2 linked regions of the Daphnia pulex genome follow. The protein of the gene in region 1 binds, or shares a complex with, the protein of each later gene. Links are inferred from orthologs where the notes say so. Each region holds a gene or a part of one and is shown on either strand. Other genes may lie near its edges.

Region 1 (4,226 bases):
CTAAGTACTACCTCTGAGACTAATTTGAAGAAATCAATAATTGAACGGCATTCTTACGAAAGGTGCCAGTCTTATCATTTTAACGACCGGTGGTCATGGTTAAAACTTTGTGTTGCAAGTTTAATGGGATGGCGTGCTTAAGGCTCAGCTTGTGCCATAGCTGAAGCGTTTTACTTCTAATGAAAGAATGAACGTCATGCAAGTGTTCCAGAAGAGGATCCAATAATTGATCACGCAGTTCACCCATCCTCTCGTTTAAATCCTCTCCACTTAGTTCCTAAATACCAATTAATATGTAAGGCGATAAAAAAGAGAAAATCAAAAGGAATTCATACCTCCATGACAATCTCTGCAAATATAGAGAGCGCACTATTACGCTAATAGAAACATACATTCTTTCACGTAAAGAAATAATTATTTTTCCAAATTTAACAGACCACTCTCGCTAGGCCAGCGCTTGTGAGATGGAGAATACAAGCAAAGCAGTGCCAATATGTAAACGTTCCACATTCCGTACACTCCAGTGAAGAAAGCAGACGTATATTCCAAATTGATGTCCTCATCCCATTTCCACTTGCCTTCCGATACCTGAGACAGTAATGGTGTTAAAGAGCTCTGCTCATACGATGCACTTAAAATAACTTACTTGACCAAGAATGAATCCAATGACGGTCATAGCAGCACAAAGTAGAGTGGCCAGCATAAGAAACTTGAATCTGTAAATGACACCTTCATAGAAATGTCTGCGAGCGGACGCCATTGCAGGCAACGCCTGACGCTTAGCACTGATATTGCGGAACACACGATAAATAATATATGACAAGAAAAGAAAGTAAACTCCAGCAGCGATTCCAGCAATAATAACAAAGCTCAGCTATAAAACAAACAAAATTGACGAATGAAGAAACAAAATGTCAAGCAAAGCTGTAACCAATTAATAATTTACCGCGATTTGTGTCCCAATTTCATTCGCCCAAATAGAATAGAACGGATTCCTAAGTTGGATGCCTCTTTCGCACATGTCAAAGATGAACATGGACAAACAACCAACTCCAACACAGCTAAGCTGTTTCCAATAACCTCTTAGTCCTTTTCTTTCAGTATCATCCTACATGTTTAACATATTAACATAAATTTGAAAACAAATGTCATAAAACAAATATACCTAATTCTAAAATGTTGGATTTTGTGTGGATGTTAGAAATCAATTAGAGCATTAGTTGAGTTATATGCTAGTAAAGCGAATGAAAAAAATTAACACATTACCACGAGATGTTCTCCGGCGAAAACAAGCCAGAAAGATAATAGCATCGAGTAAAAAATACCCTGTTTCATATCTCCCAAAAGAAGCATGAAAGGCATTTCAAAGCTCAGGGTTAAGTACTCAAGGGGAACTGTAAAAGAACAACAGAGGAGTCAGCAAAACACATTATTTTATAAAACTTCTGATTAAATTACGATTTAAAGTAGATAAAGCGACGCCAAGAGCCAAGAGCATTGATTCCAATAACGTGGGTTGCCTAGCTAATAACTGAACACGACGCCAAAACCAGATCATGACTCCTACTACCATGGGAAAGAAAATTGTCTTCAAAGACAACCAAACTTTGGTAAAACCACCATTCTGATTAATGACGACAAGCCAAAGATCGGATACAGGACCGAGGCCTCGGTTGTTTTCATATATCATCGGGAATCGCAGATTCAGAAGGTAGTAGTCATGATGTAATGCACCAAGTTCAAACAGTGGTAGAAGAGGGCAATTATAAAGGTAACCATCATCCCACTAAAAAAACGAAAATTACAAAAACTTAATTCGTCATTTCATCCTTCAGAAAAATAAATAAATTATTACTTCAGGAGGTGAACAATCCATAGTTCTGCTTTCAGTTGATGTAGCATACTCCTTCCACTCATCATCAGGATCTCCCTTGTTCCGATAACCAAGCCTGGCTTCAATTGTAACAGGAACTCTGGGTTCCATTAGCTCCCTTTCTATAAAATCAATACTGAAGAAAGGGAACAGAACAAAATATTAAAAATTAAAAAATATTTTACCTTTAAAATAGGTAACATCAATTTGTAAAATTCCAATAAGATTTTGCATCCACCGAGAGTAGTCCAATTCAATTCCTCCACGTGGTAGAGGTAACTACAAAATTAACAGACTTGACACTTAAAACCTTTCAAAATACTCTAAATTTTAGATTACATACCTGGAAAGCAAAAACAACATTTTTATCAGTTATATGTCTCTCCTCTGCTTCAGGCCCATGCAAATCATCAATCTTGTCACAACCACCATTAGGTCTGACATAAAAGAATTTGCTTTTGTTTTGACTATTATCATAGCATTTTGTGGCCAAAACAGACTGAACATTGGATGGTGCTGGAGCTGCAATTGAAATTAAAAGAATGTAGTTACTGATAAATGCCCTTTCCCACATTCAAAAATGTTTACAGGAAAAAGCCAGACCACCACCGAAAACCAGACTTCTCTATTAACGGGGTGCTATTTTAAGAAATGTGAGTCACAAAGGTTCATCTGACAGAAGTTAAGACTTACCGACCAAGCCGCCGAGAAGAAAGCATACTAGAAGACATATAAGGAGGAAAGATATCAACACAATCAACTTTCGATTACTCAGGTTTTCAACCACGGCACCTGCCATTACTAAAAAATGGACTTTCCCGCAGTTAGCTTAATACTACACACGCTGCTCTGTTTTTCACGCCGACTTGATTAAAGCTAGGCGTTTGAACGCGCGTCGAACAAAGTAATGAAATGTAAACAAATGAATATTTGGATTGAACAACATTGCCATTGTCTAAAAGATGCCAAGCAGACGACTGCTAATGGCCAACCAGGCAACGCTGTATTTTTTGTTCAAATTGTTGACAGTTTGAAAGTAGACGAGAATTTCTCGTTGTTTTTTAGAAAATGTCAACGATTGAAGAGAACATATCAGAAATTATTAATGTTCTTCAGTCAGTTAATTGTCCACTAATCGTCCGAACTGATGATTGGTGGATTGAGGAACTCTTGTTTACACCAGGGAAACCACGAAAGGATTTAATTCTTTGGATAACTTCGAAGGCAATCGAAAGTGCGTTGCCTTCTACTTTACATTCAGCACAATTAAAATTGCAAGATCTTGATTCCACAGCTACTTCTAGTTCTTCCAGCAATATTAAATTGCCAGAGAGTGATGAAGGTGATTTTATTAATATATTTTTTGTTAGTCTGAATTAATACATGTTGTCCTTCCAAAGCTATTCTTGGATTTTGGTGTGGTGCAAATGTTTGCAGTAAAAAAGATCTACCCTTTATTAAGGTAAGTTTTATTTGTTGTTTTAAATGGTCTGCTGATCTTGCAAGAAATAAAAATTTTTTGATCAATAGGGTGACATACCGAAATATGATCAAATAAAGTTTTGGAACCGTTTGATCAAGCCCCTTCAAATTCTTGCAAAATCACATATTAATACAAATATTGCCTTTGGTGGTGGTTCTTTGAGCAACCTTGTCTCCATGGAAAACTTCTTGGTAATGAGAAAATTGTACTCTATATTATTACTCATAAAGTCTCTATATTAAAATATTAGGATGCTTTTAGCATGAAGGCCACTTTGTTGTCAGCTGATGTACAAAGTGAGATTAAGCAAATTCATGAAATGAAAGGCAGAGACCAATTTACAAAGAAACAGATTGTACTGAGGAAAAATCTGCAAAATGACAATTTGCTCATCCCTAACTTCACTGAACAAGCAAATAGATTGAAAGCTGCTGCTGATCAATTTAATGATATTTTCAACTCTGATTTAAAAATCTGTCTTCCCAAAAGTGGATCCTCTGCTCCACTTTTAGAATTTGGAGAAGAAATAAATAATATCAGAACCAAGGTCACTGCTTGGAAAAAGGTAAATATGCCTTCTAAATATTTGTTTTAATAATTAACTTTACACACAAATTTAATGTAGGGTGCAGATTCTCTACTGGAATTACAACAAAGTACTACCTCTGAGACTAATTTAAAGAAATCTGAAAATCTCTTGAAACGTACTATTAAGGATAAGTCTTTCCCTCCGTTTCAAAAGCTTTGCGGGTCAGACTGATTTTGTGTAAGGAGAATATTAATATACCGACACCTTGTAAATAAACGTAATTATATACTATCGCTCAGGATAGGATACTGTGTTTAAAAAATAATTAGACTAGTCCAAAC
Region 2 (4,129 bases), on another chromosome or scaffold:
TGAAGCAGCTGCCGCCTTCTTGCAACGATCCAATTCAGCTTGGGCTGCTTTTAACTGAGTTTCCCGAATCTTACCGGCATTCTTTAACTGATTCTCCAACTCCTTGATGCGCGATTTACCTTCTTTAATGATGTCGGTGCATTCGAGGGCCTTTTGCTCTGCTGATTCCAATTCCGACTTCATATTTTCGACTTCTTGAGTTTGGCGGTGGTGAAGCGTTTGCTGGAGCCTTTGCTGGAGCAATTCAAATTCGTGCTTTTTCACATCGTAACGCTGTTTCAGAGTGCGATACTGTGCTGAAGCCTGCTCCATAACTCGAAGTTCTTGTTCCGCTTCCTTTAGTTGACGATCTTTTGCCTCAAATTCGTTGCGGTACTGCTTGATTTCGTTAACTCTGAGAATAGCAGATTGGCCAGAAGCTCGACTGCCACCAGTTAAAGTACCACCAGGATCAACGACATCCCCCTCCAAAGTTACTGTTTTACGCATTATCTGATCGTGAAACGTAACTTGTCGAGCTTCGTCTAGACCCTTACAAACAAAGGAGCTGCCAAAAATGTACTTCATTGCCGGCGTCAAGTGGTTCTCAAACTCAATCAAAGATATTGCGGTATGGCAGTTTTCTTTACCAACGATTCTTTTGGCAGTTGCCGTAGTCCGTTCATCGATGGTTCTGCCTTCAATTTTGTTGAGAGGGATAAATGTGACACGTGACTGGAGCTTGCCTCTCTCAAGAAGCTTTTTTGCCGTGTTTTCGCTGTCGACTACTATGTTGTATAGCCGACCTCCAGCAGTAATATCTAGAGCAGTAGCGTAGGACATATCTGGAACTTCAAATAAACTGCACACCACACCTGTTCACGAAGAAAAAAAAGTTAAGAAAAGAAATATAAACAAAGTCACACTATAGAAATGCAACCTTTCACAGTAGATGCGTCGAATTGCCTTTCAGGAGGGGTGTACCGAAAGGCCATTTGAGGAAATCGAGCTTCGAATGATTCAATTTTCTCTCGCAGCGAATGCATTTCCGGTTTCAAGCTTCTTTGCAACTGCTCTAAATTAGTTACTTTCTCTTCATCATAGTGAACCTGCCCAAGTTCGGCTTCCAGTCTCTTAACTTCATTCTCGAGGTGCTTAGAGTTTTGTGCATCTTTTTTATAATCGACCTCCGACTTTTTCATCTCATTAATTTTAACTTTCAGCTCTTTTTTTAGATGTTGGGTTGTCATTTCCGAATGCTTCAACTGCGACTCGGCTTGAGCAACATTCTTTTGCGTGGCCATGAGTTCTTCAGGTAAAGTGGCCGCAGCACCATTGTCACTGGCCAACAAACCAGAACTGATTTCTTGGAAGCGCTTTTGGGCAGCTGTCAAAGCTTCACTATCCTGTTGTTCAGTTTGCCTTAATTTTTCAAATGTCTCGCCTAGTTTACTCTCTTCTACCTCCTTGCCTGTTCCGATGAATATAAATACGCTATAATACTGAAAATATATAAAATAAAAGTTAAAATTTTACCTTCTAAAGCAGCGGTGTCGTCGTCAAGACTTTTCTTCAGCTCTTTTTTCCTCTTTTCTTCAGCTTTAATATTTTCCTTGAGCACCTTAACAGCTGATTGGGCTTTCGATTCGGCTTTTTCTTGAACACGCAATTTTTCTTCAAGCTGTGTAAGTTCTTTGCCACCAACTTGGTCTCTCTGATGTTGAAGAGTATGAATTTCTTTTTCCAGTGCCTCAATTTCATTTTTGAGTTTTTCTTCAGTGGCACAATGATTTGTCTTTTCTTTTAAAATCTCATTGTATTCCTCCTTTACTTGGGCATTAGCTTTTTCAAGGCTGAGGAATCTATAAGCTACATATTGGCGGTTCAAGTGTTCTAATTCACGTTCGGACTTCTGAAACTGCAGGTACTGAGTTCGTTCTTCTCTCAGTTTGTTCAATGTTGGCGTAACTTCTTCTGAAAGGATGTCATTGATTTCTTTGATTTTTTCTTCCTTTTTCTCAATTGTTTTCAAAGCCTGTTGCTTTTTCGCTTCGTACATTCTGGTCCCTGCAGCTTCCTCAATCATGGCCAATATTTCAGGGGGTTTCATATTCAAAACCTGCAATGTGAAAACACATACTTATACACTGAAATGCAACCACAAATTGATGAATGAGTTAAGCACAATACTTTAGTAATTCTTCCTTGCATGATAAGGAAATGAGGATTGTTGACATTTAACTGCACAGAGCGGAAAAAATCTTGGACACGGTTGTTTTGAACATTTGATCCATTTATGAGATACTTGTTTTTTCCACCGATGACAACCTGAAAATATGGAAACATAGACTATATATCCTAGTCATAATGAAATCATAAATAACAATACCTGTCTAGTCACTGTAACTTCATCATAATGCTCATAGCCAATTGGACTTTGTTTTTTGTCTTTGTTATCAAAGGTGACTGTCACAGTGGCTTTCGTGACACCTGCTTGTCCACTTTTGTATACTAATTCTTGCAAATTTGTTGCTCTTACATGGCTCAAATTTGTGATGCCAAGAAGGAAACAGATAGCATCCAGAATGTTAGATTTACCACTACCATTTAGCCCTGTAATGGCATTAAACATTGGATCAAATCCATTGATTTCAGTTCTTTGGCCATAGGATTTGAAACCATCAACTACCATAGATTTGATGTACATTTTTTAAAACACAAAAATACTTGATCACGGCTTGCCAGCCACTCAACGTCTTTTCCCGCTGTTTTCTCCTTTTCCTTTCAACGGCTCAACGCATAACTTACGTAGGCTATGCTTTCAACCCTCAAATACTCTGGATTGGATTTTCAAAAAAAGAAGCCTTTTCCCACCACACTTGATGCGTATGTAAACGCACGATAATTTCGTAGCATGAAAAGTAGGATAAGTGGTAGAAAAGGGCGTTCAGGGGTGTTCAGAAGACAGAATTGACGTGTCACTGTTGGAAGATGAAGATAATTAAGAAATTTAGGGAATTTTTTTAAGTTTGTAAAAAAAAAGTGTGTTTGACCCGATTTTTTATCCGGGCCGTTTTACCCGGCCGGTAAAAATTTTTTGACCCATGGGTCGGCCCGGGCCGAACCCATTTACTCTGTTGGCCCAACCCGCGGAAGAAGAAAAACCCATCTAAAAAACCCATTTAAAAAAAAAAACCGCTAAAAAACGTCCGGGCCACAGCCCTAACAGCGAGTCAGCGACTGCCGACTCATGTCCACTGGTCCACTGACAGCCAGAGAAGCCAGCGGCCCCACCTGGCCCCACACTCAGAGCAGAGAGAGATAGTATGCTACGATGCTACATGCTACGATCGTGATGCTACTGTGGCTCTGGCCAGAGTACCAGAACCACAGAGCAACCAACGGCAACCAGAGGATGCCTAGAAACGAAGAACCCAACGACAAGAACCTAGAAATCGTTAGATTCTAAAACAGCGTCAGATTATGTCCTTTAAATGTTTAAAAAATTTAGTCAAAATTGCTCACTTGTAATTTTTTCCTTTTTTTTTAGCACGGAACATTGTCCCACTTGTATTGCAATTTTTTTTTGTTACGACCAGACACAACTGTACATATCTATTTACAAGAAAATTTCAGTTGTTATCTAAGAATAAATATAGCCCAAAGTGTTCAAAAATAATAAATAAAACTATTTGCTTCGGCTCGTGAAGGAGAAAGGGTGAGAATTAACAACAAGGAGCTGAGCAGAAAAAAAGGGCATACAGTATATCCTTGGGTCTTACGATCAGCACGATTGTGTTTACATGGAATCATGCAAATTTCTTTTTTAAACATAAATTCGATAGCAAACAGAATTGCAAACTTCTCTCTCACAGACAGACAGTCATGTTAAGTCATAGTCATATTATTTAGTACAGAAGGCAAACAAAAGGATAATCGATGTGAACCGAATGCCTCAAACCAAGGCGTAATTAACAATGTAACGAGGCAGGCACATTTCATCAGTGTACAAATGTCAGCACGATCCATCAAGCGTTGGGTGACAAATGTAAAAATCCAAAAGGCCAATTTGACAAACTTTGGGCTTTCCCAATCAACTGCTTGGACAACAGATGACTGGCGAGTCCCAAAAGAAAAGCACAACGCCCAC

Evidence for each region. The genes of interacting proteins can lie anywhere in the genome.
Region 2: condensin complex subunit 1-like (region 1) and structural maintenance of chromosomes protein 2-like share a complex: the UniProt entries of both Homo sapiens proteins name them as parts of the condensin complex. The link is inferred for Daphnia pulex from reciprocal best matches to the Homo sapiens genes NCAPD2 and SMC2.

The regions. Positions count from the first base shown.
Region 1 is NC_060021.1:6,807,322-6,811,547, forward strand, and holds the start of condensin complex subunit 1-like, read right to left. Parts: upstream 2,801-4,226; 5' UTR 2,673-2,800; coding exon 2,567-2,672; intron 2,396-2,566; coding exon 2,217-2,395; intron 2,153-2,216; coding exon 2,059-2,152; intron 1,996-2,058; coding exon 1,856-1,995; intron 1,787-1,855; coding exon 1,459-1,786; intron 1,395-1,458; coding exon 1,267-1,394; intron 1,109-1,266; coding exon 947-1,108; intron 875-946; coding exon 647-874; exon of another isoform or gene 589-646; coding exon 438-588; exon of another isoform or gene 350-437; coding exon 336-349; exon of another isoform or gene 142-335; coding exon of another isoform or gene 1-141. Other genes in the region: uncharacterized protein LOC124193881, read left to right, coding at 3,098-3,215, 3,274-3,335, 3,404-3,547, 3,607-3,921, 3,982-4,116; uncharacterized protein LOC124193883, read left to right, coding at 1-141. UniProt on the Homo sapiens protein: Regulatory subunit of the condensin complex, a complex required for conversion of interphase chromatin into mitotic-like condense chromosomes.
Region 2 is NC_060019.1:8,746,220-8,750,348, reverse strand, and holds the start of structural maintenance of chromosomes protein 2-like, read right to left. Parts: upstream 2,801-4,129; 5' UTR 2,687-2,800; coding exon 2,369-2,686; intron 2,308-2,368; coding exon 2,170-2,307; intron 2,099-2,169; coding exon 1,516-2,098; intron 1,451-1,515; coding exon 920-1,450; intron 855-919; coding exon 1-854. UniProt on the Homo sapiens protein: Central component of the condensin complex, a complex required for conversion of interphase chromatin into mitotic-like condense chromosomes.